Linked DNA regions of Nothobranchius furzeri. The main gene of each other region encodes a partner of the protein of the gene in region 2 in a complex. Links are inferred from orthologs where the notes say so. Each region holds a gene or a part of one and is shown on either strand. Other genes may lie near its edges.

Region 1 (5,051 bases), on a different chromosome or scaffold from region 2:
GTTCAGCGAGGTAGGTGGGAGTTGGGCCGTTCAATGCTTTATAGACAAAAGGTATGATTTTGAACTGTGTCCGGTACTGCACAGGTAGCATGGACGTAATTTTTGGGGGGGACATGCCCCCCCCCCCACATTTTCCAAAGTCAAGTTTTGACCCCTGCACGTTTTACCGTCCAAAAACAATTTTACGCTATATTAAATTGACACTGGTTGAGCTCTAAGACCAAGCGGAAAACAATCGTTTGTGTTGAAGCCTGTTTCCCATTAGAACATACTGTAAAGACCCCCGTGTCCCCCCCACTTCTAAAGTGAAAATTACGTCCATGACAGGTAGCCAGTGTAAACGGGCGAGGATGGGAGTAATGCGACGACGTCTGGAGGTATTTGTGAGGAATCTAGCTGCGGCATACACGTTTGGGTGAATGGAGATTTTAAACAGCTTTTAGTGTGACTGTGTGTGTAGGCATCTTTAAAATGCAGTTTTTTCTGCTTCAGCACACCTGACTTTAACCTTTGTGTGATGAAAAGGCTGCTGCAGAGTTTGGTGACTTGCTGAACAGGTGATTCAGTCACAGAGTCAGCTGTGCTGGAGCAGAAAAACACTAAAACACGATGGATATGGGCCATTCCCATCTGTACGGGGCCGGGTAGCCCCAGTCGGCCCCAGCCTGGCCCTGTTGATTCCACACATCCTTGTCTTAAGCCCATGTGGGCTGATTCTACCCACCAATCAGAGGCTTGCTCTAATGGAAGGTGTGAATTTGCTGTCAGCAGTGGGTGTGTTGGCCCTGGTCGGCCTGAAGCAGACCCCCTCGAGAAGAGGGCTGAGAATGAGCCTTGGTTGGCCCGGAAAAATACCAGGCCACCCAGATATGTAAACAACCTATGCTACCCGGCCCGGGCCGACCCGGTACAGATGGGAATGGCCCAATAGGTAGATCTAAAGGGTCCGAGTTGGACAGCCCTGAATCATATGCTACGTATCACAAACCTCTCATGCTTTTATCAGACTGTGGTTCTTTTTACAAGTGTCACTGTTTAACAGAGAGCCTCCCCCCCCCCCCAGGTCGGAGCGGTCCAGCTGAGACTAAACAAACCCTTCTTCTTCAAGACAAAAGGAGAATGGCAGTCGCCTCGGCCGGAGTCTCCGCTGACCAAATTTTCTCAGGGCAGAAACCCTAAAAGCAAAAAGTGTCACTAAGGAAGGACGTGAACGTACGATGAAAGCTGTTCTTGTTTGTTTCGGAGCATTTTGGGTCAAAGGCTTAAAAGTTCGAGCTTTTTTAAAACTTGTTTTGTTTTGCATGAAAAGATGATAGTTTGTGTTTGAAGTACAGGCATGTTTGCTGGATTGTTCCTCCCTGAAGTACGTTCACATTTCATAAAACAGACATTAAATAGCTGTTCTGTGTGAAAATGTTTTTATCAAATAAAAGTAACTTATTCCAATAAAGTTGTTTATTCTTTTCTGCAAGAACTGGAAAAATCCAAGAAGTTCAGTTGTTAAATCGGTTACATTTATCCATTTTATAACAGGAGTTTGTTCAGTAGCAGTTAGCGTTTACACGGACTCGGTTACTATGAGTCCTACCTGCAAGCCTAAACTTCCAGACAAGTAAAACCCAAGTCTAGCAGACTTTAACAGACATGAAATAAAGAAAATAATGTTACTGAAGTTGGTAAAGGAGGTAAAAGTGCATCAGAAAACATGCCGTGGGTTGTTTTCAGAGAGCATCCTAGTTGTGTCTGAAGAGCTTGATCCCCATCCAGCTCCAGAGATGGAAGAAGACGTAGACGGGGATGGTGACCGGCAGCAGCAGGCTGTAGAAGCACAGACTGTTGCCGCTGGTGCAGCCTTGAGGGAAGTTCTCATCCACGGCTGCAGAGTAGAACAAGCCAATGAGTGACACGATGGGGACCAGTCCCACCATCACGGACAAGGAGAGCATTCTAGCAGATTAGCTTTACAGTTTTTTTCTTTAAAAAAATAGCAGTGCTCAATCGGTTTTCTGGCAAATGAAGGTCTTTGATAGACTTTCTGTTACTGTGCAGGTGGATTAGAAGCGTCTGTGTCCTTCTGAAGGAGTCTGGCCTCCTGGGGGATCATGTTGGGGATGCCGTCGATGATGGGATAGGCGATGCCAAGCTCCTCATTGATCAGCTCGTTGGTATTGGCATCATACCTAGAGGAAAGAAAAAGAACATCAGTTATCTGGAAAACAGATTAGACTGTTTTATGCGTTGGTTCAGTCATTTCTAATAATGAATGCCTAGGTCGCAGGTCGATGATAGACTTTGAAGTCGTATCATCCGACCTGCGGCCGTGTGTTTTGGACACCAGAGTGAAGAGAGGAGCGGAGCTGTCAACTGATCACCACCTGGTGGGGAGTTAGATCAGATGGCAGGGGAAGATGTCGCGTAGACCTGGCAGACCCAAACGCATAGTGAGGGTCTGCTGGGAACGCCTGGCAGAAGAACCTGTCAAGACGGTCTTCAACTCCCACCTCCGGCAGAGCTTTGACCGCGTCCCGAGACCAGTGGGGGACATTGACTCCGAGTGGGCCTTGTTCCACTCTGCGATTGTTAAGGCGGCTGTTGCTAGCTGTGGTCGCAAGGTGGCCGGAGCCAGTCGTGGTGTGGAGTGTGTCGAGTTTGGAGGCAGGAGAATCTCGTCTCTGCTTTTTGCGGATGATGTGGTCCTCCTAGCTTCATCCAGCTCTGACCTTCAGCTCTCGCTGGGTAGGTTCTTGCTGCCCCCGCGACCCGGATAAGCGGAGGAAGACAACGACGGTGTGTGTGTGTGTGTGTGTGTGTGTGTGTGTGTGGGGGGGGGGGGGGGGTAGATTTCACCTTTACACTGCCTCTAATGCAGCTTTGACTAATTCTTAAGTAGGATGTATTCAAACATAGTACATCCTTGTTTAATTGATGTAAACGCCCAAAACAATTTCCCAATGATGTTACTAAGCCAGTGAAAGAAATCCCTTAATTTTTGATAAAAATCCTAATAAAAAAGATCAGTTAGTATGAAAGGTGTTAAAAACTGCTGTGTCTCAATGGTCTGGCTTAGTTAGCAACACCATTTAGGAATGGTTTTGGGTATTAAAATCAATTAACCTGGCAGCTTTTGAAAGAAATCACTTCATTTTTTATTTAAATCCTAAAAATAATGATCAGATCTTGCGAAATGTGCTAAAAGCTGCAGTGTCGCTGACCGGGCGAACCAACGTCTGTCGAAGATCCAACGTCCAACTACAAGCTAACTTCACCGCGGTACAGGACAAGCGCGTGCCTACGTCTTAATGCTTTTATATGAAGTTAGAAAGGACGCCGCTAGTTAAAAAACTAAAATCAAAACAGATGAACTCTGAAACACTTTGTTGCCGTTACCGGAGTGGCTTCTTGGACAGCGGACACACCAGGAAGTCCAGCAGGGAGGAATCGAAAGGCGGCTGCACTTCGTCCTTGGCGTCGGTCAGACTCCTCACCGGGACTCGGGCGGACGTTAACGACGGTCTAAACGCGGCTCGTTTCACATGACGATCAAAACGAAACGTTTCTGTCACGAGCCTGCTCACAACATTCCTAAACATGACCAAGTCCTGCGCGGCGAGCTCGGCGAACTCAACAACAGGAAGTACCAGCTTTGGTGTAACACTAAAACATGAGCCGGAACCTCTTAATATGTCCGCTGACTTCCGAGGTAGGATAAAAAAAAATCCCACAAATGAATTTAAATGTTTATCGACGTTTAAATTACTATCCGATTTATTTAATGTTAATAGACATGAAACTAAAATCCCATAGTTCTGGTTATTTTACAGTAAATTAAAGAAGGCTTGTTTCTACATTTGTCCACTGGATGGCAGTGTTTCACCTTTTTAAATCTCATTACGGCTGTCTCTCCAAAGGCAAAACCAAAAATCTAAAAATAAGGTTCTGATCCAGAGAAAATGTACATTTTCAAGTGTATACTTTATGATATTGCTTGGATGGTTTCTGACCTTCGATGCATTTGATTCACCAGAATGAAACTATGACCTGGGTCCTGTCCACTTTAAAATAAATTATCTGATGTGCAAACACGGTTTGTGGACTTTGCAATGGTTTCTATTTGTATTCTTGTTCCACAGATGCAGTGAACATGATTTCCCAGCAGGTTATCACTGTACAGTGTTAAATATCGTCAGAGACCCTGCTGCTAGTGAAGAGAATACAGTTTCCAATCCATATGGCTGCAGATATTGCTCTGAGACTTTCCTGGCAGGGCCCCAACTTGTTTTAAAACTGCTTCTAGCTGTAATATATCCCACCACTCGGTACATGACAGACCTGCTAATACAGTCATTTTTCTTTCTCCAGCTACCACGGATTGAATTCAGAAGTGTAACACAACAGCCAGGCACCTTTTTGTGAGCCTAGTTACTCTCGAGAGATATCCATCAGGCCTGACATGTTCCAAGGAACACCGGAGTTTGAAATGCGTAAAGCAGAAAAAAGAAGATTTCAAATCCCAAATGATATGAAAATAATCTGATGCTCGGATGTAATTTAATTACAACAAAAACATTAAAGCTCAGTTTAAGTAACTAATGTTGTTGCTCCTGAGCTAAATCACAAACATTTATTTTGATCCCCAGAAGAAAAAAGATCACCTCGTCCCATGGTTTCTGGGAACATGATCTCACTCCAGAGACCAGATAATGAAAACCATCTAATCTTTTTTTCTCTAATTATAATTTTCCTTGCTTGAGGACAACATTGAACACCTGCGTCTGTTTTTATCAGAATGAAATTAGCAACACCACCCAACAGAGCTACAGTAACACTTTATGACTTTCAGAGTGGAAAACCTTCGGTCCAAACTCTGATCAGGTATTGATTTTTGCCTCCTCTACCCTGTAATGTCATCTGAAAAGCTTTGTTTTGCTTTTTGCTGTATCACATGCTGACTGGACGCTGACTCGACAGAGATGAGGGGAATTTTGTCCTGATTGGTTGACCTCTGTGACCTGTTCCACAGCACAGTAACTGTACTCACAGACTTCGATTGC
Region 2 (6,644 bases):
ACACCAACTGTAGGGACTGGGTGGTTTTGTTGATCTAAATATTAAATGAACTGTGAGTTTAGGGAACATGGGACACGTTCCAGCTGTTGTTTTAACTACGGAGTGTATTTTTCCTGCATCTCACCAATAAACCAAAACGGTCCGTGCTGCTCGTTCTCCACCTCCTTCCCTTTGAAGGAGGTCTCCCACATCTCCTGCTCAAACGAGCTCCCCACGCAGCACTTCTCCACACTCAGGATGTTGCCCTCGGAGTCGCAGATAAACTGGCTCACGACGGAAGTGTAACCGAGTGCGTTTATGAAGGACTTGAAGGAGGTCTTGTCATAAGGAGAAGCTCTGATCTTGAAGTGTGCTGGAGCCAGGACGCCCAGCACGTTGGGGATCCCGCAGAATTCCTCGATCTGAGAGGCGGTTCTGCTTCTGGCCTCAGCTGTAAGCGGGAAGGAGATGAACGTTTTGCACATCGCCGCTAAGACTCCAGAGATAGTTTTAACAACAGAATTCAAGTTGCCCGTTTGGCTCATCCAAGTGTTCCCAGCGACGGACGAGCTGAAGGCTCCGTGAGCGTAGTAGTTCAGCGCGATCATGAGCATCACGTCCACGGACGTGTGGCGCTTCGTGGAGTCCACCGTTTTCATGTGTGTGCCCACGGAGTCTAAGATGAACGCGATGCAAGGTCTGGAGAGGTGAAACTTCTCGAACAAAGCCTCGTCGGAGAAATTGTCGAAACAAGGTGGAGCGCCATCTTGTTCCTCCTCGGGCTCAAAGCTGCCGAGCATCTCCTCCTGGACGGCGAGCCACACCGGTACCGCAAAGGCCATCTGTTCTACGTCTCGGTGTAAATGTCGGTACGGCTGACACACTTAAGGGAAAAATGTGGAACGGATGCGAAGCAACCGCTCAAAAAGCTAAACAGCTTTTCTTCTTCGTTCTGAGAGACGATCCAAACGTGGCGCGCTGACGCCCCCTGCTGGTCAGCCGCGTCACCAGTTGTTTTTGTGCAGAATCAGATGGAGTGTGTGCTGTAATAATCAATCTGGTCTTCATCAGTGACATTTATTTCCCATCCATACAAGTCCATTTATTACATACTCATGCAGCAGAAAAATGTACTAATTCCTTGATTTAACCATTTTTGCAAAAATGATTTTAATCATCATCTGTTTTTTACTGAGTTTAAGATGGTGTGAGAAAACTCCAATAGCTCTAAACCCCAAATTCAAGAATAAACAAATCTAAAATGCTATATTTAAATTTTATTTAACTAAAATAAGTACAAAATAACAATGTTCTTTCTTTTCACTGGCCAAATGAGTCATGCTTAGAAACACTGAACATATCATCACTACACAGTCATGCCCAATAGTTATTTTTAGCAGCTTTAAGAGCCTCTCAAGTCCCACACTCAGTAACCCATCTCTGCAGTTACTCACTAAAAAAAGTGGCTTAAACGCAAGAAAATTTCATTTACACATACAGGTGAAATTTGAAAAGTTTGAAAATCGTGCAAAAGTTCATTTAATTCAATAAACAATAAAGGGGCTCAAACCAAATACTGAGTACACAGGTATGATTATACTTTTTCAAAGGTCTGACATTTCTCTATTTAAAATCCTTGTTTTATTGATATGATGTAATATTCTAATTGTCTGAGATTTTTCATACGCTGCAAGCCATAACCATTACAATTATAACAGATAAAGGCTTAAAATATCTGGCTTTGCATGTAATGAGTGTCTCATATAGTAGTTTTATCTTTTAAGATGAATTATTGAAAACTTGCACCGTTTGTAATTTATCACGTTTCACCTGTCTAAATTACACCTTACAATAAAGCTCAGAAGAGATTTACATGCCTTGTTTCTCTGTCAGGAAACTTTACTTCATTTTTTACAATTTAAACTTCACCGTTTCTCACAAACGAAGATATTTTATACAGTTTCAGTTATGCTTTAGATCATCAGTGTAACAACCAGTCATAATAACACAAAGTTATTTACTGTTGCTCTTTTGACTCTTGTTTCCCCATCAAGTCATCCCAGCAGGTAAACTGAGCTTTAAAATGATCTTTTTTCTACATTTATATTTACTAAATGATAAATATAACATCTGTGATTGTTTCATGAAACTGAAAATAATCAAAAGGTTAGACGGGTATTGTAAAATAGTTGTGAGGCTATTTTTGAAGAACAAATCATATATTACACATTTAACAGTTTTTTAAAACACAAACCAGGTAAAACACAGATAGTTTTACTCTGCCAACAACTCAGTTTATCAATTATGTTTCAGGGGACAAATAAAACATTCTGTTGACCTCACTAACGGACACATCTTTAAGTCGAGGAACTCCGCCTTTGCAGTCGCTGTCGGCCCTCTGGCCTTGTGCGAATACATCTGTAACACAAAAACAAGACAAAATGTACACTAAATATTTAGTTTTTAAACTGCTATTTGACACTTATTCCTTTCATAGATAACAGCTGGGATGCTATCAGACCTCACCTGTGATGTTGTCCACAGAGTCCAGTGGAGCAGTGTTGGTCATGTTTATCCCAAACAACACCAAAAATGACACCGATATTGCAACCAGCAGGTAGATTGGCATTGCAAGAGCCCAGTATCTGTGCAGAACAGGGAGTTTTTGTTAGAAATCCCAAATGCCAAATGTCGGTGGGAAATCTGATCTGGATTTTAAAGGTGATGCAGACTTTTGAGGCCAGTATGTGAGTCCAATTGAATGCAGCCACTCCTCTGGTATAAATGCCCACAAGCAGTACAGAACTGTGGAGAGGGAGGAGAAATATAGTTATTATTTATCTTCAGTCCCTTAAATCACAATTACTCAGTGAGTTGGGAAACTATAGCTAGCATTTGACTTTAAAGAGACTGCAGGCACTGATTTATGTCAGCAGGTCATGATGTGCATTGAGGAATAAAACATACGAGAAGCTAAATTATCATAATAAATAGCCTTTCTTCTAATAGAAATAATCTAACCTCACATTCAAATGTGTGATTAGGAGTTTAATCAAATAACATTTCTTTAAACAGTCGAACATTTGTTTAAATTGAACACGGACACTAAATAATTAAACTTAAACATGGTCAATCAGTCATATGATGGCTGCCATAAAGGTAGAAAAGAGCTGCCACAAAAGCAGAGATGTCCAAACAAATAGAACTGTTTTTGTTTTAGGGGCATTGCTGCTTGGACGCTAACCCTGACACCACACATGGGAGTTGTGAAAAAAAATTAACAAAGGTGTATCCTTTAAAGTGTTGAGATCACCGCTGTGTTTTGTCTTCCATCTTTACTTGTGTCAGCTTTTAAAAACACAAGACAAACGTAAGATTGTGTATTAGCTAGGATGAATATAAAAAATAAAACAAAACACTACAGACACATTTACAGGTAAACATAAAGATCATTTACTTCTGATTTTATACAGGAAGAACAGTCTTGACCTGTCACCTAAAAGATGCGTTCTAGTGTGTGTGTGTGTGCAAAACAGAATAAAATAATTATTTTTGACTTACAGAAACCAAACTGTGAGCCAAGGAAGAGAACAAACCCATAAATAGCTCTCTCGGGGACAGGAGACGGAGAGTTTTCAACCATGATCTGAAACCAAACAGGAAGCAGAGGAAATAAGCAAGCAACACAAACCAGAGTCTAAAACATCCTTAAATACTTCTGTCATCTTACCTCAGTTCATAAAATTTCCGAATTTTCACAACATTTGTGCCCCTACGTTTCTAAATAACGAGTAAATAAAGCTGGATTTCTAAAATAATACTAACAGGAAACATTTCCAACAAAACCTAAGAACAGCTGCGAGTTTGCACCAGCGTTAGTTCGGTCGGAAAAATTTCCCGGGTAAGCAGTTCCGCTTTTGATACACTAGACAAAAATATGACATCAAATTAAATTGTTTGAAGATTTACTAATTTATATGATTTAGTACATATTTACAGAAAATAAACATTTGAATATTAGAGTGCTTTCAAACTATGTAGAACGTTTCATACTGGGATGTCTTGTTCATATCGGACCCATTTGGCTGTTGCTCAGCCGGGAAAACGAACGCAGCATGGCTTCGGAATTTGCGAACTGAACGCAGAACCACGTTTATCTGCTGTTCTGTAAAAAATGAGCTGCTTGTTTACGTTAGTGTTTTATTTTTGATGCAGATTTTTGGTAAGGAGACATTACTTTAAGTGACAGCGGTAACAGCCATTGTCTATTGTTTTTGAAATGTCAGCATGGCTGACAACGTTTAGTTTAACAACTTCTTGTTAAAAAACACTTTCCATAATGTCTAAGGCGAAGAAGAAGAAAGCACATTCTGACCCTAAATCCACAGCTAAAGTTAAGAGGAAGGAGTTTTGGATAAAACACAACTCGAAAAACAAATTTCAGAAGATTTCAGCTCCTCAGAAGCACCAACCTCACCTGCCTACACCTCCAGAGGAGGCTCAGCAGTTCTCCTCTAACTGGAAAGCTCTCCAAGAGGTTTGTCTGTGCATCAGTGTGATGCTGGTGTGTATTTACAAAGTTAATCTGATTTTTCTGAAACCTTCCACAGATGCTAAATGCCAGTAAGCCAGAGAAGAAGCTCCCTGTGTCACCCAAACAGAATGTCTTTCCAAAGAAAACTTTAAAAAATATTCCCAAGACTCCCAGTGAAAAAGACAATGAGACTAAAGTCAAGCACACAGTTGCTCCTAAATTTGCCATTCAAAAGGAATCAGAGGTGAACTCTGATGTTCCAGCTGCCTCCAACACTCCGCAGCCAGCTGCTCCTAAAAGGAAACGGGACAAAGGAAAGTCCAACAGCGAGCAGAAAGCCAAGAGGAATAAACCAGTGGTAGAGGAGAGGAAGCCTACAGAGTGTGTACACCGTACTGATTTTAGAAGACATTGTGGACCAGAGTAGTTTTGTATTCCTAACTCTTTATTGTGTTTTGTTGCAGGGACGATCTTTGGTTCGATGATGTAGATCCTGATGATGCTGAGGAGACGTTGGGAGCAGAAGCTGCAGAGATCCTGAGGAGGAAACAGGGCAAACACCAGAGCAAAGACACAGAGAGCATGCTGGTGAAGGAGAAGTGTTTTGAGGGGTGAGTAGCTGTAAAAACAAGCTTCCTCTAGTGTGAACGCTGGACAGGACTTTATTTCCAGGATATGACTGACCACACGTTGTGTGAAACATTTAAAGTTTAAAAGGAAATTTTTTCAAGTTTGGCGCTAAAAGCTAAAGTGTAGTCATTGGTGGACACCCATTCCAAATTCATTCCTTAAATTTTGGATTTATGACTAGAACCACAAGTACTAGAATAGACTGTGCTGAGTATCAAAATAAATACTAAACCCAGGACCTTCTTGCTGCAAGGCAACTGCTCTATGTATACACATTTTAAGAAATAAAAAAAGAAGTAAAATAAAAAAATCTAGTCGAGCAGTGATGGGAATAACAATGTTTAAAATAACGGCATTACTAAAAAAATAGTTTTTTTTAATAACGAGTAATCTAATTATCGTCTTCTTTTATCATAACGCCGTTTACGTTACTGATAAGAAAATGCGAGCGTTAGTAATTCAGCAGCGTGGTGTGTTGAAGCTGTCAGCTGCTCGGGAGCTGAAGAGGCGGATGTTTTAATCCAAGTGCATCACGACCCGTGAAGAACGAGGAAGACGTGATGAATAGTCTACGGCTGCAGATCCGCAGATTCGCTGCTGCAGGCGTGAATCTGCAGCCGTGCCCTTCTTGCCGTGACAGCGGGACGTCCCGAAGGTCCGCTCACCTGTTCACCGCTCGGACATCACGATCTTCTACCTTCCTAGATCACCCAACTGTAACTTGTTTCTGCTCATTTCTTTAGCCCTGCTGTAACACTGATGCATCAGTCTCAGACGTCATGGTGCTCAGGTGTTATTAGAACTACCTGTGTGTCTTTACCACCCAGCTTCTGTGTTTGGGTCTGATCCAAATTAGTAAATTTAAGTCCTCCATCAGATTTGTGCCACTTCTAGTGCCATTTTAAAGGATTTATTTATTTATTTAACCATTACTAGATTACCAGCAACAGAAATGCTGCTAAAAACACACAATCATGTCAAGCTGGAAAAATGAGAATATTTTGCAAAATTACATTTATTACAGTAATTTGACTAGACTGAGAGACCATTTAAAGGCTCAGTAACCTTTACAGGTGTTTCTGTTTGCAATTATAAACTTTAGCTGATTGGGGTCTGGTTAAATATCACACAGTGACATTTTAATATTCTAGATTGGTGTAATATTCCTGTTTGTAGTTCCTCCTGTTAAGAGCCCATTTATTTAAATGATCCAGTTTTATAACAAACATTTGGACATATAATTTATTATGTTCCAGTCATTAGTCAGTTATAGTTTAGTATTGTAGTAATTTATAGTAAACTAAGTAAGTTTAATTAAGAGGGGAACCCATTTATCTTGCATTCTTTAATGAAAAAATGCAACAAAAATTTTTTTTTTTGGTAATTAGTTACTTTTATAATCTTGTAATTCGGTAAGTAACTGAGTTATTTTTTTGACAAAGTAAACAGTAACTATAACTAATTACCTTTTTAAAGTAACGTTCCCAACACTGGACATAGG
Region 3 (6,912 bases), on a different chromosome or scaffold from region 2:
AGTTGATTTTTTTGACAAAATATGGCACTAAAGGAGTTAAATCTCAAAAACTCTCAATTATTTTACTATGTTTGTTGAGGACTGAAGCTAAGGATAGAATCAGTGAAATTTTTTTTTTGAATTTTGAAATTATATTTTTTATACATTTTGCTAAAATGCCTTTTGTTGTGCGAGGGTCCCCAGTGTAGCTTTTTTTAAGGAACCTCCAAGGGTTAAAAAGATAAGCAAACAACTTAAACTGAAGAATGTTACTAAATTATCAGATTTTTCCCACTCAAGTCCTGCTGGTTTTACACCTTTGAATAAAAACAGACCTGCAGGCCACAGCTGGCTCCTTCCACGATGGCCATACAGAAGGCTTCGGTCAGCGACGTGTTGAGGAAGATGTGTCCCTGAACCAAAACGCCGCGGACGTCTTTATGCTCCAGAGCTCCGAGCAAACGAACTCTTCAGCGAACAGAAAAAAATATTTTAGCCTCATTAACAGAAAAACAATTTTAAAGGCATACTTGGATCAGATCCGACTGATTTCACCAGACAAACTTAAAGGATAAAAATCACCAACGCTGAAACGCTTCTAAATATAAAACATTGAAATGTCATTTCAGCCATAATAAAAACATATAAAACATTCTTAGTTGTCAAGTTTTGCATTTTTCTTCCACAATCTCAGGAACTACACCCATCCAACCTACCGATCATGCAGCTGGTATTTCTCTCTCACTTCCTCCAGCACGAGCCTCTTTGGTCCCTCTCCGCCAATCAGGAAATGAAGATCAGGATGTTTGAGGCAAAGCTCTGGGATGATCCCACCCAGAAGATCAATTCCTAAACAGAGAAGGTTTGTTTACAGTTAAAGTACAGCAGCCTTTTATTCAGCTATGTGTGTGTGTATATATATATATATATATATATATATATATATATATATATATATATATATACATACAAGCAGTTTTATTCCTGCAATCGATCTCTTTTTTCCTCCTTTATACTCTTTTCACACTTTGTTTTTGTTAAAAGTCTGGAGATGATCCCACGGGGATTTGTTCAGAATGACCTTTTGAAGTTTGTTTATTGTGCAGCTCTGAAACTACTAACAGATATCTGAGAAACCCAACTTTCTTGATCTGACCCTATGACCCACACTTTTATTAGTAGGGCTCAGAAACAGTAGACTGGAACTGAAATTGACTGAAAGTCATTATTCCAGAGAAAGGGAGCTTAACCACAGAGCTGTGTGCTTTCTGTTCCTTTGTGTTGCAGACAAATTACATAAAGGAAAATAAAGAAAGAAAGAAAACGATCTTTTGTATTTATATCTCTCAAGATAAAAATCACAAAGCATCATGAGCCCAGGAGGTGAGGTTAAAATGTTGGGAGTTTCCATGCTTTTTTAATTATTATAAAGGCATCAGGTAATACAGGGTATATGCTGGGCTCTAACAAATAAATGGTAAATAGCCTGTATTTGTATAACGCCTTCTTAGGGTTCTACAACCCCCCCAAGGTGCTTCACAACACAATCACCCATTCACACACTGGTGGTAATGAGCTACAGTGTAGGCACGGCCGCCCTTGGGCGCACTGACAGAGGTGAGACTGTCGAGCACTGGCGCCAACGGTCTGACCACCACCAGCAGGCAAGGCGGGTTAAGTGTCTTGCCCAAGGACACAACAGCAGCATTCAGCACCACTTCATCAGTTGGCGGGATATGTCACGTCCATGATAGCAGGGCTGTAGCAATGGTACGTAAAGGCACGTGTTACGGAAACGCAAGCAAAAAGCCGGCATGAAAGAACAAATAATTATTTTATGATATTAGTTTACTTTCATCTATTTTTATACAACCTTATGGTAAATACACATCAATACTAACTAAATTTAAGACTTTTTAAATTGATTCAAGATATTTAAATACTTTTTAAGGATCTTAATTTTCCTCAAATAAATTTATTAACTTTTAATGCTTTTCAAGACTCCCCAGATATTTGTTCTTCCTTTTCTTGATTGTCAGTGCAGTTTGCACGACAACTGGGTCAACCATCTTCCATTCTAGCTGTTAGGCGCTCCAGATGAGCAAACTCAAACTCAAAAAAGCCTCGCATGATTGATATTGTTTGACAATTTTAAAAATACTTGTGTCAATTTTATTCAGTACATTTTTGGAGTAACCTGTGAAATGCTCTAAATTTGGCCTATTTGGCCTACATTTTTACAATGTTCCAATGCAAACAAAACCAACACATACATTATAAACAAGCAGAAAAGAAGCAAAGAATGACAACATCCAACCCAACAGGGTCTGGGTACCTTTGCGGTAGACGAGCCGGCTGATGACAACTATTGTGATCCTGTCAGCTGGCCGCTGGGACGGGTCAGGAGTAAAATCTGTAGGGTCAACAGCATTGGGAATGACAGACACGATCTCTGGGTTGAGCACAGCCCGGAGCACCGTGTTCTCCTTACTGGTGTAGGAAACACACACAATGTGGTTGGTGTCACACAGCGTAATTGTCAGAAGCTTGTTGGTCAGCACGGAGCTGAGGTCAGCAAAGCCAAAAAGTGAGTGGTCAGTAAACACCTGGTATTAAAAGAAAAACATTTACATTACTGAACTGTGTGTTATTAATAAGGGAGACATACATGGCTTAGAGTCACATACGGTGTTGAGGCCCATGGTTTTGGCGTGGAACAGTGCATCGTGGGCCATGGAAGAGAATGAACTGTGTGCGTGTACCACGGTGATCTGCTCCCTGACAAACACACAGCGCAGCAGTGGGAGACTGTGGACGCAGGTGGTGGCTGTGGACTGGCTGTACATCACTTGCAGGGGCAGGTAGTAGACCTTCAGTCCATTGGTTAAATACCTCACACCCCTCCTCCTGCCGTAGGCATGAGTGGCAATTACCACCTTGTGTCCCTTTTCAATCAGACACTGAGAAAGCTGATAAATGTGGCTTTCTACTCCTCCCATGTTTGGATAGAAAAAGTCAGACACCATACAGATGTTGTGCTTCCTGTTGCAGATTCTGGCAACATCTGCGGAGTCTCTTTCAGATGACAGAGTTTTCACTGCTCCTGCTCTCCTTCGCTGGCCCATCGTGCAGTCCTCCTGTGGCTTTTCAATCAATCAGAGCTGAAATAATTTATGATGTGCCGAATAATATCACATAAAGCAAAAGATAACAATTAATTACAATGAAAGTCAAACTTATTTTATGAATCTCTTTCCTCAAATTTAACTGTGTCACATTCATTTTTCATTTTAATCAATACTTTTCTATATAGCATTATATTCCTAAAGAATTTTAGCTAATTTTCTCAAAACTTATTGTGATTATTACTTTTCTCAACCTCTGTTAATAAAACCAAAACTCTTAATAGCAGCAATCTACAATACAACAATGAAAACAGCTAGTACCATTACATTTAAATGATTCATAATGATTACACTGAACAACTTCTACACCTTCAGTTTACCAAAACTAATGCTGGAGGGTGTCTGTGCCTGTTTAAAAGGGATTGAAACCGTTTCTAAAATGAGCACACTTTATTCACATTGACGAATCTCCCGTTTAGGACCATGTACTTGACAGGAACCGTGGCTCATCGACACAAGTCATGACTAGTAAATGTAACTCAGACATGATTTTGAATAATAACTACCGGTAACTAGCGTCTGTTTTTATCAAGCTAATAAACCCATAGTTTATACTTAAAGTCAAATATTGCATCCTATACTTGTTTAAAGTTACAGCCACCTTACCGCGAAATTAAATGTCAGTCTTGTTCTAATCGGTGAAAACAAAAACGACTCTGGTTTTGTTGAAGATTCATGTCAACTCCGTAGCTCTTTGCTAGCAGATTAGCTGCCGGTCGCACTTCCTGTTGATGCCCTACGTCACTCGCAAGAGGCATGCGCGGTCCAGACCCTAAGCTTTGGCGCGCTCTAGAAAATAACAACGTTGTTAACAACAACAGAAAAATCAAGTTGGTATTAAAACGGGGGCTACACAAAAGAAAGAAAAAAAGAAGAGCAAAATATTTGTTGAATATACAATCAAATTTACTTTTTCAAATGAGAGAAAATGCTACAAATGTTTAGGAAAACAGCAAGTTTTCCACTGATTTTTGCACTGTCCATGCTCATAATTGGACATAAACTTTCAAAAATGTTCACTTTTGGCTGCAGTCATATTTTCACTTGTTAGAATCAAAACAATGATTACTATAACCTTTTCTAGGCATACACCACCTTGGAATGTGTTTATTCCCAAGAATCTTGGTAAACAGAATGTTGTTTTTGGATAACAATATTATAAATTACTGTAAACTTTGTATGTAGGTGTATATTTAGTATTGAAGTGCAGCAGCTGAAAACTCACCTGTTCAGACCTTTGGTGTTTTTGTGTGAGCTTCATACTCTCTCCTTATTCAGCTTTGTTTTTTACCACTTCTGCAGGATCCACTGATTACATCTTTCTTAATTTTCTTTCCCTTTCCTTACATTTTTTAAAATTACAATTTTTAAAATTTTCTCATTTTGTGATATATTTAATCATTTAAAAAAAAATTTTTTTTTGCTCTTGTGAAGTGCCTCCTGATTTTTATCCTGAGAGGCACAATATAAAATATTGCTTCTTCTTCTTAAGACTAAAATATTTGAGTGTGAAAGGTGTTTGGTTAGCCATGAAATCAAATATTGTTCAGCTAGCATCATCCACTATAGTAAAGGGCCTGCTCATGAGCAAAAAAATACTAAAAATGATAACCAAACAAGTTGGTTTGCTTCAGTAAGAAACAAGGGAAATTAATCACCAGATTTGTTTTCTCAGAATTTATTAGAAAAGTATTGAAATTCAAATCCCAACTATTTTAGGCTTGTAAACATATTTTTCATGTTTTACGTTTTCTTTTTTTATCCACTGAGTCTTGTCAGGTTTCACAGAGTGCATCAAAAACTGAAAGTTTTCACACAGCAACAATGACAAAAAAGAAGGTATCACACAAAAGCAAACAACAATAGTTACTATTTCAGGAGGCAGTGGCAATCTTTGCTCCTTCCTGAGGAGCATTATGCCTATTTTTTAATTTTGTTTACCTTGAAAACTTTACACTTTCACATTTTCTTTCTTCATCTTCTGCAAAAGCACCAGATGTCTGAATCAGAATTAATATCTACCCCCACACTTGTCCCACGCACCCCAAAAAAGAAAAGAAAAATCAAATTAAAAAATTCTAAATGTTTTTCTTTGACATCAATTATCATTGATATGCATCAATTCTACTGTCAGACCTCTTCAAAACCACAGAATTCTCACAAAATTGCAACAATAATCTGAATAAACAACATAATGTACACATGAAGATAAATAAAATATTTTTTACAAAAAATGGTTATAAACATTTACAGCAATATCTATACTGGTAGCAAATACATGACACTGAATCTTTACAAATTCATAATAATAAAATGAAGGCAATAAAATATTTACATGTGCAGAGACTTTAACTGTTTGAGCTGATCAATGATGTTCTCTTCGGAGATCAGCTGTTTGAAAAGGGACATATACACAAAACCAACATTTCCATTTAATAATGGCTCTTTGATGGGAACAGGTTGCCGACCCCTGGTTTAAGTGTTTCAATTTTTTTTAATGAATTTGATTAAAAATAAAGGCGCCCGGCCCGGCCAGTGTCCGAGGTAATTACACAGTCGTTGGCCCGAAGCCTGGCCCGAGGGCCGTCGGGCCGGGCCGACCCGAGGGCCTAGGGCTTCAGTGCAGGGCTCTAGAATCAATCTATCAAAGCTTTATTTATAAAGCGCCTTCCGCAACCCTGTCAGGAAGCCCAAGGCGCTGAACATGGTACAATACAAAGTTAAATAAAGTGAATAAATCAGAAAATAAAAGCAATTCAAATTACAGATTACAAATTACAAAAAAGGTGAAAAATTCTAGTAGAAGACAAATGTGTAAAACAAGGGAAAAAGTGTACCAATGAAAACTGTGAGATGAAATCAACATAAAAGAGGGCCAAAATCAAACATGCTCAGGAAACGCCAAGCGGAGGAGGTGGATTTTTAGGCGACTCTTGAAGACTGGCAGAGATGGGGACAGCCTAACTGAGGGTGGCAACTGGTTCCATAGTGACGGTGCTAGGACTGAGAAAGCCAGGTCCCCGCAAGTACGACACCTAGAACGAGGGACAACGAGCAGGCCTTGGTCAGAGAAGCGCAGAGCGCGTGATGGGGAATGCCTGTTCAGGAGCGTGGCCAGATAGGGGGATTACCACCCTGGAAGAAATTAAAAACAAAGACGAGGAGTCTGAAGTGTGAACGATAGCAAACCGGAAGCCAGTGCAGGGAGGCCAGAACCGGACTGATGTGGTCCCGTTTCCTGGTCCCAGTCAGGAACCTGGCTGCGCTGTTCTGCACAACCTGTAGGCGACGCAGTGATGACTGACACAACCCTGCATAGAGAGAGCTGCAGTAATCAAGCCTAGAAATTACAAAAGCATGGAGTACCCGCTCCAGGTGGGCTCCTGACAGCATGGGCTTGATTTTTGCAAGGCGTCTCAGGTGAAAGAAACTGGACCGGATCACAGAGTTGATGTGTGCATCAAATTTAAGTCCAGCATCAATTTTCACCCCCAAACTGGTGACAACTGGTTTTGAGTAGGGAGAAAGAGAGCCAAGATCAACATGACAATCCATTCCTGCTGTTGGGGTGAAAAACAATGAGTTCTGTCTTTCCCTCATTCAGATGCAGAACGTTGGCCATTAGCCAAGACTCCACCTCGTTAATGCAGGACACAAAGGACTGGATAGAGTGACCTTTCTCCTGACACAATGGAGCGTCAATCTGGCAATCGTCAGCATAGAGATGGAATGATAGGCCATGTTCATG
Region 4 (6,868 bases), on a different chromosome or scaffold from region 2:
TTATATATTTCTGATATTGCCCCTTGTTTCAAACTGCTTTTACTTATTATTTCTTCCAGTTCTGATTTTGGTGGTTTGGTGCAGGTATTATTTTGATTTGCTCGAATGTAACTTCTAATTTGGAGATATTTGAAAAATTGCTTTCTATCAATATTATATTTATGTCTAAGCATATCAAAGGACATCATTTCTTGAGAGTCTGTTGGATATAAATCTTAGATTTTTTGAAGTCCTTTAATTGACCATTGTTTAAAAACTGTATCTTCTCTTCCTGGTCTGAAATTCTGATTTCCCCACATTGGTGTAAACTGTGACAATACAACAGGTTCATTCATATATCTTTTTACACCATACAATACTTTGACCATGTTCTTCACCATTGGGTTTTTTGCCTTTCTAATCAAGTTTACTGCTGTGTCTGAGAAAAAATATAATGGTAATGTTGGATGCAAATTCATACTTTCCATCTCTGACCATTGCGGGGCGTTATTTAAGTCAAAATAGTATCTTATAGACCTTATTTGACATGCCCAGTAGTACCACTCAATATTTGGACACATGACACCACCCTCATTGTATGGTAGATGTAACAATGACAATCTTATCCTTGGTCTCCCATTTTGCCATAAAAAACCGAGAACAAGCTTTTTGATCCTGCTAAACCAATCCACAGGAGGCGGCAAGGGGATGTTCTGATACACATAAAGCACCTTTGGCAGTATACTCATTTTGTATATATTAATCCGACCCATTAAAGAAATTGGTAGAGATATGCATCTGTCCACTATCTCTGTTATTTCTTTAGAAAGTCTTTCATAATTATTTTCCACAATCTCACTTAGTTTAGACGAAATCCGTATCCCTAAATACATAAAGTCCCTTACTGTCTTAAAATGGGATGTTACTGTGGGTGGGTTGTCCCTTTCTTCCTCATTTAGCAACATAACGGATGATTTAGATTTATTAATGACATATCCTGATATTTGACCAAACTCCCCTATCAATCTAAGCAGAGCAGGTATTGATTCCTTTATTTTTGAGAGATATACTATTACATCATCAGCGTACAACGAGATCCTATGTTCTACTTCATTCACCATAATTCCTGTCACCGATAAACTCGAACGTACGGCTATAGCAAAGGGTTCTATAGCTAATACAAACAACAATGGACTTATCGGTGAGCCTTGTGGACATCCCCGTTTCACCCTTATTGGTTCAGAGACATTTTTGTTTGTCAAGATTTCAGCAGTTGGATTTGAATGTAATAATTGTATCCATCTTCGAAACACATCTCCATACCCAAATCTAGTCAGAACATCAAAAAGATAGGGCCACTCGACCCTATCGAATGCTTTTTCGGCATCCAGCGAGAGTAAGGCGCTCTCTGACGAATTGTTTATTCCGTCTATAATGTTAAAGACTCTTCTTACGTTATGCAGACCTTGGCGTCCCAATATAAAGCCATTTTGATCTCTATGAATTACTGAGGGGAGAGTACCTTGCAAACGTGTAGCTAATATTTTACCTAACACCTTAATATCGGAATTGAGTAAACTTATCGGCCTCAAATTTTCACATTTATTACTCGGCTTTCCCGGCTTAGGTAGCAAAATGATTTGCGAACCCGTTACTGATTTAGGAAGACTTCCTTTGTGTAATGATTCCTGATACATTTCCAATAATGGTTTCACTAATTTACTTTTAAATTTTTTATAAAAATCAATTGGAAATCCATCTGGTCCCGCTTTTTTACCTGAACTCATACTGTTAATTGCCCTGCTTATTTCCCCTTCGGTGATTTCTGCATCTAATTGTTGTTTTAAGTCATCTGCAATAGTAGGAATATTTATTTTATCCAGAAACGCATTTCTGGAGGTTTGATCTGATCTATCCTGAGATTCATAAAGTTTTTCATAATAGTTTCTAAACGCCTTATTTATTTCCATCGGGTCTATTATCATTTCCCCTTTGCTGCTTACAATCGATGTTATATTTTTCTGCACTTCCAATTGTTTAATTTGCCATGCCAATATTTTTCCAGGTTTTTCTCCTTGTTCATAAAAAGACTGATTTAATCTCAAAATGTTCGAAGCCGCTCTATCTGCCGATTCTTTATTGTATTGTGCTTTTAGTATTAGCAATTTTTTCTCTGTTACTGGGTCTCTACTTTTGAATACTAGTTCCTCTAGAGTTTTAATTTCCTTTTCCATTTGCTGTCTTGTTTTACATGTTTCTTTAGATTTCGATGAAGTATATGCAATTATAACTCCCCGTAAACATGCCTTAAATGCCTCCCACCTAATACTAGCTGATGTTTGTGAACCATTTATAGTAAAATATTCATCTATTTCTTTTTCTACAAAAGTGAGGAATTCTTCATCATTCAGCCATTTCTGGTGTAAACACCATCTACGCTCCATTATTAAGTTTTTATGTGTATATATGATATTGCAGGGAGCATGGTCCGATAGTAATATACTGTCATATGAGCATGTCCTTATGTTTGATAGTAGGCTTGCTGATACTAAAAAATAATCTATTCTGGAATATGTATTAAATGTTTTTGAATGGCAGGAAAAAATTATATCGTCAGGTTTTAACTGTCTCCAGATGTCAATCAACTGAAGTTCCTTCATGAAGTTAAGAATTGTTTTTCGGCTTTTGTTATGGGCCTGGTCAGTCCCAGTTGGTCTATCCTTACAGGGATCCAGTACACAATTCCAATCCCCTCCTATGATGCATTTTCCTTGGAGTAATGAAATTGTGAGAAAAAGATTAGTAAAAAATGCATCATCATCTGTATTTGGTCCATATACATTAATTAAGTTAATGGTTTCTTGTATAAGTAATCCCTGGATGATCAAATACCTACCAAATTTATCTTTGATTACATTCTTAACCTGAAAAGGTACTGATTTATGTATTAATGTGATTACTCCCCGAGCATTGGATCTAAATGGTGCTGCATACAACGAACCTTGCCACCTCCTGCCAACCTTAATATGTTCCTCCTCCAGCAAGTGCGTCTCCTGAAGAAAAATTATTTTAGCTTCCAGATCTTTCATTTTGGTCATTACTTGCTTAATCTTTTTAGTACTTTTTAAGCCTCTACAATTCCAAGAGGTACATTTAACTTCCAGTTCCCGAGTCATCACACCTCACATGCACTTCTAAATGCTTAAACTTGTCTGAGAGTACGAACAAAACGGAACACAAAACACGAACTTTAAGTGAACAAACCATTCTTAAGAAAAAACACAAAAAACCCCACCCACCCATTTTCTGAGTAACCCACTCAAATGTTCCACTTCCAACTTTAACCATGTACAGATCCCCGTTTTAAGATCTGCTAACTTAAATGACTGGCATTATGCCTAGCTCTTCCCTGCTCCCTGTGTCCTTAATGAATCCTTAAGCTTTGCTAATATTCCACTGCCCCTTAATAATTAACTACTTTTTTACTGTCTTTAAACAAAATTGAATAAATTCAATAATTAAAAAAATAATAATCGTAATTAATAACTAAATAAATAAAAATGAAATGTAAAAAAGTAGTATAATATAAAAGATTGAAAATTATCATTCTTCCTATCTAGTTAACTGTGCAGATAAAAAAAAAAAGAAAAAACAGAAAATCGCTTTATTCTTAATTACCTTCTACTTTGATGAAGTTATCTATATCTTTTTCCAAATGAATCATTACCCCAAAATGTTAGACCTTATATTATCGTCCTCATCTCTTGGATTAATAAATGATTTAATCCAGAATGTTCTCTCTCCATTAGGGTGTCTCACTGATTGAGTGAAAAACAACAGGGTGGACAGCGCAGCACTGGCGACGGATCGAACATCAGCATGTCTTTAAAAAAGCACGACAATAAACTTTAAAAGGAAAAAATAAACCCGACAAAAACGTAACGAAAGAAAAAGGCAGTCCATCTCTTCGTAAACAGACTTAAAACGTGATTTTTGTCATTAAAATGAGTTCAAAATAAACGAAACTTAAAACCTAAAATTAGCTTAAACAAGCTAACATTTAAACACACAAACCACAAAGTAAAGCCCTCTTTAAAACAACACCTGTCCGTTTAAAACTGCGTTCATTTGTAAATAATTGACATTTCTTACCATTGTCGCAGCCCCGTACTGAAAGATTGTTTACTTCCGGGTTCTTCTTCGTTTTCTAAATCCCTCAGAAAGACTCGATCTCTACCGCCACCTGGTGGTCGACCACTGCAACAGCTTCCATTTGGTTTAAAAGGAGTTTCAGAACTAAAGACTTTTATAGATCTTTATGAGTACACACTAGTACTATAATAATACACTACTCCAGTCTGAGTGTACCACGCCACGCCCGTCACGTGGCGAGGCAGGTCTTGTGGTGGTCTTTAAGGACAAACATGTCTAATCTGGTGAAAAATGGCCCCTTTAATACTTTTGAATGTCAGGTCACCAAATGTATTCAGTGTGTTTTAATCTACCGACCTCCCGGTCCAGCTGGCCATTCTCTGAATCAGCAGAACTTTTATCATCAAACTAGAAAAAGTTTTGATTCTTGGTGAACGTTTTTAAGGCCCATATGAGCTCTGGGACAGCTGAAAACGTCAGTGTGAGTCTCTTTATTCTCTCCTCTTGTCTGAGCTGATGGCGCTGTATGCGTGGCGCGCTTCCAAACAATTCAATTCAATTTATTTATAAAACGCCAAATCACGATCAGAGTCGTCTCATGGGCCTGCACACAGTAAACATTCCAGTACAGGTCAGTACATTAAGCCAATCAGTAACAAGTTTCCTATATAAGGAACCCAGCAGGTTGCATCGAGTCACTGACTAGTGTCAGAGTCTTTACAGCAATCCTCATACTAAGCAAGCATGCAGCGAAAGTGGAGAGGAAAACTCCCTTTTAACAGGAAGAAACCTCCAGAGGATCCTGGCTCAGTATAAGCAGCCATCCACCACGACTCACTGGGGATGGAAAAGACAGAACGAACGAACACACACACACACACACACACACACACACACACACACACACACACACACACACAGGATGGCTGGCAAATGATTCTTTTATAAATCTCGGAGATTTCTCCTAATAAATGACCGGAAAGACTACCGGTAGTCATCGTAACGTGGAAAAAAGTCCCGGTAAAGCACTGCTGTCACAAAAGATCCTCCTATAGAAGGAAACTAAAAACACGCCCCCCCCCCCCCCCGAATTTCTAATCATCTTTTTTTTGTTTTACTTTTCTGATGTGAATCCATTTCTGTTAGCGAACACTGTTTTGCTTTGATCTATGTGAAGCACTTTGTGACTCTGATAAGTGCTATATAAATAAAATGTGCTTTAGTTACTAAAACTACAATCTTGAAAGTTTCGTTAGAATTAACAGGACTCTTCTTGTTTCCCTTGAAGACGTGTGGCTTCTCATCCAGGAAGCTTCTAGTAGTTTCCAACCAGGCCGTCAGGTTTCCTGCCCTGGACCTACACCGACCTACACACACGCACCAGAACAACGTGCTGGACTTCACTTTTAACTGCTGTGGATGAAAGACTTCTGAATCCTCTCCAGTTTTTCAAACGAAGGAAAACTTTCCCTGATAAAGAAACAAGACATTAACTGAACAAAAGCTAAAGGACAATCTAATTATGGATGAAATGAAATAAACTTCAGAAATATTTGAGTTATGACCGCATGGAACAATCTCAACCCAGAGATGGAAAATCACCACAGGTTTTATTACATTTGGTTCACAGAGTACACACATAAAATATCAGATCTCACGTGACTTTCATAATTATGTTTACAAAAGGAGGTAAAAGCAGTTACAGCTCCTATAAAACCCTACAGTGGTTCCAAGGTTTATAGGAATACAATCTTCTGGCATTTGCCTTCAGCTAAATCATCATCTGGTTAAATCGTTCCCTAAATATAAATAAAAAAACATATAAATAAAAAGTAGTGGATCCAGAATTTCCTCAAACCGCCGATCTGTGAATTAAAGCAGCAGCAGAGTTAAAACAACCAAATCCCAGTGAAACCAGTTTAACACCACCAGACAGGAAGTTAACATCGCAGGAGTAAATTCTGTTGAGTAAAACCAGCCTGAGGACCAGCTCGCTGGTCCAGAAGACTCTGTAAAGGTTCTGTTTACAGTCTCCACAGAAAACACTCATCCTAACAGATCAGAACAAAATGATTAACAGAACTTTGTTTTTTCAGTTCAGCAGAAGCCCCACCCCCACGGTACCAGAACCAGAATTCCCAATAACAAACACAAAAGTCCCTTTTATGGTTGGGAAGCATCCAGAACTCAGCCCAATAGAACCACAGACTACTGGATGTTTAGACTCTGGTACCAACAGCCTCACAGAGACCCGGTCTGGTTCTGGTTCTTTAGACTCACTTAAGAGAAGGGACAGGATCTGAGCTCCAACTCGTCATTTAACCTACACACCAAATAAAAAAAAACTAGATACTAAAACCAGTTCATCTAAATGTTCCCTCAATAACGTTTCTTTGATTTACAAAAACATCATCAGTGTCCACACTTTTCCTTCCGTTGGTATAAAAATACCGCGGAGCAGTTAGCAACTAGCATGCTAGCAGTAAAGAGTTAAAACTTTAACCGAATAAATAACTCGGCACAAAAACAGGGAAGCTAGCAACTAGCAGGTCTGCTAGCAGCTAAACAGTAAATAACCCTGTTTTTGATATAGCGCCTTCTAGAGTCCTGGAACCCCCCAAGGCGTGTTACAACACTGTCGAGCACTGGCGCCACCGGTCGCTCTGACCACCTCCAGCAGCCGGGGGTGGGGGGGGTGGGTTAAGTGTCTTGCTCAAGGACACAACAACAGTGACAG
Region 5 (6,190 bases), on a different chromosome or scaffold from region 2:
GCTGCTTTATTTCTCCTACTCAAGCAAACCACTCATTAAATGTTGACAGAAACACCCGTGAAGTAAGCAGGTGAGACCAAGCAGCACTTATTGAAATCTGATCGTGCTGCACAAACGAAGGATGGACACAGCGAGGACAGAAGTGACAGAGCAAAGTAAAACCTGTTTTTTCTTTTTGTCCTTTTAGTGAGTTGCTGATTCACTAAAATGGAACAAAGTCACTCCAGAGGAAACATGTTCAGGATTTCTAAAACAATAAACATTTTCGTATTCCCAGTCTGCACCCTCTTACTTTTACTTTTTTTACTAATGGGAAATAATGATAATTGAAAAGAAAAGAAATAAATAAACAAGTTTCTGATTTCGGTCCTGATCGATGGACTCCACTTTCTCCTCACTGTCTGATGCGATGGGCATTCCTCAAGGAAGCGGTGCACCGTTTAAGAGGATTTTGATTGAGAGTTTTTAATCTGAATGTATCTGCAGCAGGATTCTAAAGCATCTGACAATGTGTTTGTAAAACTCATCACTTTAAGAGACGATGGATTAGATTAGATGGATGTTAATCATCTATAAATGGTGCAGAAGTCTGTTCTTGAGGGCTGAAGCCTAATTGTCATTTATTCACATCCCTTTGGTAAATTTGGGCCAGAGTTAAATCAAAATACTGCATGTACACACACACACCCTTCCTCATTTTGGTAGTGGGTGTAAACACATAAATACTCCAGGTGGCTCTTCTTCTGCCTCATCAGGAATAAACCCAGTGATGAATCATTTGCAGCAGACCAGATTACTGTAATTTCCGGACTATAGAGCGCACCTCAATATAAGCCGCACCAACAATAAAAACGGTTTTCTACACACACACGCTGCACTCAAACACAAGCTACGGCGCAGCAGCCGCAGGTCTCCAGCGCACAGCGCATGTACGGCCATAACATGAGATAATTAGACAGAAAGACGCTACACGGAGGTTTTTCGTTGTTTTAATTCAACAAAAGGAATTTTAAACACGGGTGAACGTGCCTGCAAGTTTAGAAAAGAAAACAGCGCTGATAGCATTCATATTTCTGGATGGTTATACAATAAAAACAGAGCTGACACGTTATTACCGGTCATTTGCATGTTTAGAAGAAAAGAACAGCGCTGACACAGCATTAATAAGCCCTGGATGATTAGAAAATAAAAACTGCACACAAAACATGCCTGGTTAGTAAATAAAACACACCTGCCTACCAGAAGAAGTCATTCGCTCTCATCTTCCTCCTGCGCTCTAAAGCCATTAAAGTCCTCTTCTTCAGTGTCGGAGTTGAACAGCCTCAGAAGAGCTTCGTCACATACCTTTTCTGTGGCGATGTCCGTGTCGCTGTCATCATCCCGGGTGAAGCTGGCTTGAATGAGTTCTTCCCGCTGCCGTCTGCAGCGCCGAACCATGGATTCATTCATGCCAAGCTTACGTGCGGCAGCGCTGTTTCCCTCCTTTACTGCCAGATCGATGGCCTTCAACTTAAATGCGGCATCATATGAACTCATACGTGTAGTTTCCATAATGAGGGGGTATGGATTTGAAACAAGTTCTTCGTCGTGCCGGCTGCTTGCATGTGCTAAATTAAAATGAGCACTTTCTTCCATTTCCACTTTTGACTTCCACCTGTTTCACTTTCTGCCTAAACGCCCCCTAGTGGCAGTTGAAGGAAAATCTTCAGTAAAGCTGCACCTCATTATAAGCCGCACGGTTCAAAGCGTGGGGAAAAGTAGCGGCTTATAGTCCGGAAAATACAGTAATAATATTTTGTTATCTTTTGAATCCTCCTTCTCAGCATGTGGCTCAGCAACTGGAGGAGCTGCTGCAGTGGCTGATGGGAGCTCCAGCTGGGCTGAAGATGAACCGGGCTCTGGACCAGGTTCTGGGCCGCTTCTTCCTTTATCACATCCACCTCTGGATCAGTGAGTCCACGCAGAGTTAGAACAGAACCTCACCAACGCCCCCTGCAGGCTTCAGCGTGCCATCTTGTCCTTACAGGTTACATCCACCTGATGGCGCCATTCATTGAGGGGATCCTGTGGTATGGAGGTCTGTCAGCCTGCTTCGGGCTGACCTTTGCCCTTTCGCTGCTGTCTGACATGGTGGCGCTGTTTACTTTCCACATCTACTGTTTCTACGTCTATGGAGCCAGGTACTTGAGATTTATTCGACGGCAAAGCACAGAAAGTTAACATGGCTTAAAACACTCGGGGAATTCTACGTTTACTTCAGACTGACTGACACCAAAAGACCTGATCATCATTACAATAATATGTTGGAATATGTTCTTTTTTTTACTTTTTTTTCACACACCTTAAACTACCCCAACTTTGATTTCTAGTTTCCATCTTTACTGTAAAAGGCAACTTAAAATATTATCAGAGGACTGAAGTAGGTCCAGCAGCATCCGGGCCGTCTCCTAAAGGTGGTCCGGCTTTGGGATCAAGTCTCCACTGATGCAGATCTTGCTCAGGAATGGCAGCAGGCAGGTCTGCAGCAAATAAAACACCTTTCTCCCTGAACCCATCAGGGAGGGACAAGCTGAGATTCAGAAATTATAAACCTGTGCTCCTCCACCAGCGACCTGCTGAGGTCTAGAAAAATGCGAGCAACACTGCAAATATAGACTCTTGCATGAAGCTAATGTCACTTTAAAATGATAAGTTCATCTCATTAAATGCCATTAATTCATTTTCAGTTTCTAATATTTGACAAAAAGATTTTATAAAATTGAAGCACATTACTCATTAGCCCCGGCCTGCCAGACTCGTCCTGTTTAACTTTCGCTTCCAGCCTGGGGCGGGCTGGTCAGGCTATTCAAAGGCTAGATGTGAAAATTAAGGTAGCCACAGTAAAACACCTGCAGGGGGCAGCGTTCCTGTTATGAACTTTAAATAAACTATTGATTCTGCCACATTTCTTTGTGTAAATAATAGAACTACACTAGTTTCAGACCTGAAGCGTGACTATTGGACATCAATAAAGAAAATGCTGAGTCATTCACACAGAGGAAGGACTCAGAATTGTTTTTATTATTTCAGCTTCTGCAGCAGCTGCAGACCTGGGTGTTGTGTTTACATATTTGGGTCAGAGTTGGAGAAGAATCGCCTCGGCCCGGCTTGTGGTTCACTCTCTCTGATGAGATGTTTGTGTGCTAATTACGTCTCAAGCAACAGCAGTCATAAAAAATCATGTCTGTGTCCTCATCACCTGTGTCTCCTCTGACCTGGAAATGACATCTCGAGGAAAGTCTGGGATCCTAAAATACACCTGGAGGGGGGGGGGGGGGGGGGCACAGGTGTATGTGTTCTTCTTCCGGCTCTTGGAGGGTGCAGATGCTTTTGTCCTCCTCTCCTTCATATCTTATCCTCAAGGCCATTGCCTGTCGGTGTGTGTGCTGGGTGCACTGCTGCTTCTGCATTTTTCTGGAAACTGAAATTCACTAAAATGGATCTCGTCAGTTGGTCTCTCAACGCGATTGATAACATTTTTTCAACGATGAGAACGGGAGAAGGGGCTTCCGGATGCCCCACCGGGACATACCCAGTTGGACACATCATGGACTCCTAGAAACAGTGGAACTTGATTTGTTTATCTCAGCTGTCTGTGGAGGACTCTGAAGATGTGTGGATATTGGTGTCGGGTTTCCTGCTCATTGGCCTTGGAGGCTACCTGGCTTATCGGAAAATTAACAAGCTGTTGAGGAATATTGGCCTGATCCCGGAGCTCAGAGATGGTTTGCACTGCGCTGTAAATTCACAGACTCACATAATTGTCAAGATGAATCGTAAGCTTGGAACTTTGGCCGAGATTCATTCTTTGGCACAAAAGATGGATGCCATCAAGGAGAGAGTGGACGAATCAGCACGGATTGGGATAGATTAATGTCCATTATTGGGAGGTTGAGGACTAACAAACTGTAAGACAGAGAGGAAATTATCTCTGTCTGGCCCCAAAACAATTTCTAATCGGAATCTGGTGTCCTTGAGCCTGCAAGGCTCCAACGAAAACTCCCCCCTCAGAAGATATGTGGAATGTGCCGTCGCTATGGCAACTCAACTCTGTCTCCTATCCCAGCCTGGGTGGGACGGCGGGAAGGCCGCTTAAACGTTCCAGGGTCACTGCAACCCTCCAACCCTCAATGCTCCTCTCCCTATCCACACTGAGGTGACATGCGCTGCTTATCGTGGCTGCAGGAACTGAAGTGTGGATAGTCCCAACCCACCACCCCACCTAGTGGACACTTATGTTGTGTGTTGTCTGAAGTCTGTTGCATCTCTGTCCGAGGTGCTTTTTGCAGAGCAAAGCTGCCCTCCTGGTGGGAGGGTAACTCTGAAGTACCTTTTTTCCCTCCACCTGAACCAATCCTCATGTTACCCTCCTATCTCTATTAAGGTAGCGCGACTCAGGGTTGCGAATGACCACAGTCGCCAATTCTTGTCATGTGTCTTGCCCATATATGTCTGATCTCTGAATTGTGTGTACTGAAACTCTAATTTCCCTCTGGGATTAATAAAGTATCTTTGATTTGATTGATTTTATTTATTTATTTTTTTTTTTACCACAGATGACTTCGACGATGTGTTTTTTTGGCACCATTTACCAAAGAACATTTGTCTTTCTCTAGAAAAGAAACCAGTGATAGTTTTTAAGATGTATTTAGTAAAATGTGTAAATCTGTGTCCCACATTACGGGTAAACACGTTCCTTTTGGTTATTTTCCTTTTTCAGTCTGAAGAGATAATGGCTGTGATGAAGGCCTGAGCACTGTGATAAAGGAGGATGGATTAAATTATGTATTTGATCTAAAGATGGTGCTCGCTCACCCGCGGTGGAATTAAATATTTCTCACTTTTTCTGTTGCATATTTATGCTCCACCAGCTCTCAGAATCAGGCTCATTGTGTCTTTTAAATATCCTTTGAGGAGCTTTGTGAGTAGAAAATCTAAAAATATCCACGCCGGTTATCACAGCAGGAGGAGGTGAAGGAGGAGGCGTCGCTCTCTCCTCCTCTGAATTTGTGTGCTTCTGTCTCTCACAAGATTAAAACTCAGGTGTGATTTTATGGATCGTTTTGTGGTCAGATTTTTGTCTCCAGAAACAAACTTCTGATGGTTTTTAACACCAGAGTTCATTGTTTCAACAGAAACTGTCTCTAGAGGAAATCATAAAAGTGAGCTGCTGCTGCAGTGAGAAAAATCACCAGATCTGAGGAGAAACTTAGTTTTATCATAAACTCAGAGACCAGTGATGTCACCTTTGACCCGGTAAACTGGCCCAGACGTGTGCTTGTGTCTTCTTCAGGTTATACTGTCTGAAGATCTACGGCCTCTCATCTCTCTGGAGACTCTTCAGGGGGAAGAAGTGGAACGTCCTGAGACAGAGGGTGGACTCGTGCTCCTACGACCTGGACCAGGTGTCACTTTCTTATTTCTCTATTTATTATTATTTTTTAAAAACTAAAGAAACTCAGTAGGATCATTTTTATCTTTGAAGTCTCATGTGAGGCTAAGATGTTTACTTTGGTTTGAACATTTATTTGAAACTCTAGAGGGAATAAAGCAGTCTTCACTAATTCATCACAACATAGAATTCAAAGACAACATCAAGCAATGGAGATGAAACTAAGAAGATTGAAAAGCATTTTACTCTGAGATGATGTTATTGTGAATCGATGTTATATGAAATTGAACATTTGTCTAGAAGAGACAGAAATGCGGACAGACACACAGACAAAAACATTCTGAAGACAATAAAAAAGCCAGAAGTGTTTATGTTCCAGCTCTTCATCGGGACGCTGCTCTTGACCATCCTCCTGTTTCTGCTGCCCACCACGGCTCTCTACTACCTCGTCTTCACTCTGGTAAGACCAGTCTCGATAGCAGATGGCTCTATAAAAATAAATAAATTAATAAATGAAAATGAAAAGTGGTCACAGATCACTCACTGTTCGGTCACTGTGTGCTGCTGGCCCCGTTTGACACCAGCTGGTCTCGACTAAGATCCAGTTCTCTCGTTAAACCAGAACAGCCGATGCGTTCAGCAGTCGGATTAAACTGGGAGCTGACGATTCCACAAAACTAACGTCCTCCTGCAGATTTCTGAACCAGGAACTACTGATTATGTTTTCACTGCTTTGGATTAGGATTTCATGGTGGTGCA

The links.
Region 1: pigp (region 2) and phosphatidylinositol N-acetylglucosaminyltransferase subunit Y share a complex: the UniProt entries of both Homo sapiens proteins name them as parts of the glycosylphosphatidylinositol-N-acetylglucosaminyltransferase (GPI-GnT) complex. The link is inferred for Nothobranchius furzeri from reciprocal best matches to the Homo sapiens genes PIGP and PIGY.
Region 3: pigp (region 2) and piga share a complex: the UniProt entries of both Homo sapiens proteins name them as parts of the glycosylphosphatidylinositol-N-acetylglucosaminyltransferase (GPI-GnT) complex. The link is inferred for Nothobranchius furzeri from reciprocal best matches to the Homo sapiens genes PIGP and PIGA.
Region 4: pigp (region 2) and dpm2 share a complex: the UniProt entries of both Homo sapiens proteins name them as parts of the glycosylphosphatidylinositol-N-acetylglucosaminyltransferase (GPI-GnT) complex. The link is inferred for Nothobranchius furzeri from reciprocal best matches to the Homo sapiens genes PIGP and DPM2.
Region 5: pigp (region 2) and pigq share a complex: the UniProt entries of both Homo sapiens proteins name them as parts of the glycosylphosphatidylinositol-N-acetylglucosaminyltransferase (GPI-GnT) complex. The link is inferred for Nothobranchius furzeri from reciprocal best matches to the Homo sapiens genes PIGP and PIGQ.

What each region holds. Positions count from the first base shown.
Region 1 is NC_091744.1:85,183,472-85,188,522, forward strand, and holds phosphatidylinositol N-acetylglucosaminyltransferase subunit Y, read right to left. Parts: upstream 1,947-5,051; coding exon 1,734-1,946; 3' UTR 1,438-1,733; downstream 1-1,437. Other genes in the region: triadin, read left to right, coding at 1,064-1,198; pyurf (protein preY, mitochondrial), read right to left, coding at 2,039-2,180, 3,388-3,590. UniProt on the Homo sapiens protein: Part of the glycosylphosphatidylinositol-N-acetylglucosaminyltransferase (GPI-GnT) complex that catalyzes the transfer of N-acetylglucosamine from UDP-N-acetylglucosamine to phosphatidylinositol and participates in the first step of GPI biosynthesis.
Region 2 is NC_091756.1:33,915,325-33,921,968, reverse strand, and holds pigp (phosphatidylinositol N-acetylglucosaminyltransferase subunit P), read right to left. Parts: upstream 3,879-6,644; 5' UTR 3,710-3,878; intron 3,626-3,709; 5' UTR 3,623-3,625; coding exon 3,541-3,622; intron 2,785-3,540; coding exon 2,712-2,784; intron 2,625-2,711; coding exon 2,506-2,624; intron 2,398-2,505; coding exon 2,282-2,397; 3' UTR 1,854-2,281; downstream 1-1,853. Other genes in the region: si:dkey-197c15.6 (putative nuclease HARBI1), read right to left, coding at 125-821; rexo4 (RNA exonuclease 4), read left to right, coding at 4,319-4,516, 4,590-4,894, 4,978-5,124. UniProt on the Homo sapiens protein: Part of the glycosylphosphatidylinositol-N-acetylglucosaminyltransferase (GPI-GnT) complex that catalyzes the transfer of N-acetylglucosamine from UDP-N-acetylglucosamine to phosphatidylinositol and participates in the first step of GPI biosynthesis.
Region 3 is NC_091754.1:25,444,890-25,451,801, reverse strand, and holds the start of piga (phosphatidylinositol N-acetylglucosaminyltransferase subunit A), read right to left. Parts: upstream 3,902-6,912; 5' UTR 3,771-3,901; intron 3,244-3,770; exon of another isoform or gene 3,141-3,243; 5' UTR 3,105-3,140; coding exon 2,667-3,104; intron 2,586-2,666; coding exon 2,315-2,585; intron 829-2,314; coding exon 696-828; intron 448-695; coding exon 315-447; intron 1-314. UniProt on the Homo sapiens protein: Catalytic subunit of the glycosylphosphatidylinositol-N-acetylglucosaminyltransferase (GPI-GnT) complex that catalyzes the transfer of N-acetylglucosamine from UDP-N-acetylglucosamine to phosphatidylinositol and participates in the first step of GPI biosynthesis.
Region 4 is NC_091746.1:70,783,246-70,790,113, forward strand, and holds the start of dpm2 (dolichol phosphate-mannose biosynthesis regulatory protein), read right to left. Parts: upstream 4,235-6,868; 5' UTR 4,135-4,234; coding exon 4,132-4,134; intron 1-4,131. UniProt on the Homo sapiens protein: Regulates the biosynthesis of dolichol phosphate-mannose. Regulatory subunit of the dolichol-phosphate mannose (DPM) synthase complex; essential for the ER localization and stable expression of DPM1.
Region 5 is NC_091745.1:17,746,276-17,752,465, forward strand, and holds part of pigq (phosphatidylinositol N-acetylglucosaminyltransferase subunit Q), read left to right. Parts: intron 1-1,823; coding exon 1,824-1,950; intron 1,951-2,026; coding exon 2,027-2,180; intron 2,181-5,332; coding exon 5,333-5,444; intron 5,445-5,810; coding exon 5,811-5,891; intron 5,892-6,190. UniProt on the Homo sapiens protein: Part of the glycosylphosphatidylinositol-N-acetylglucosaminyltransferase (GPI-GnT) complex that catalyzes the transfer of N-acetylglucosamine from UDP-N-acetylglucosamine to phosphatidylinositol and participates in the first step of GPI biosynthesis.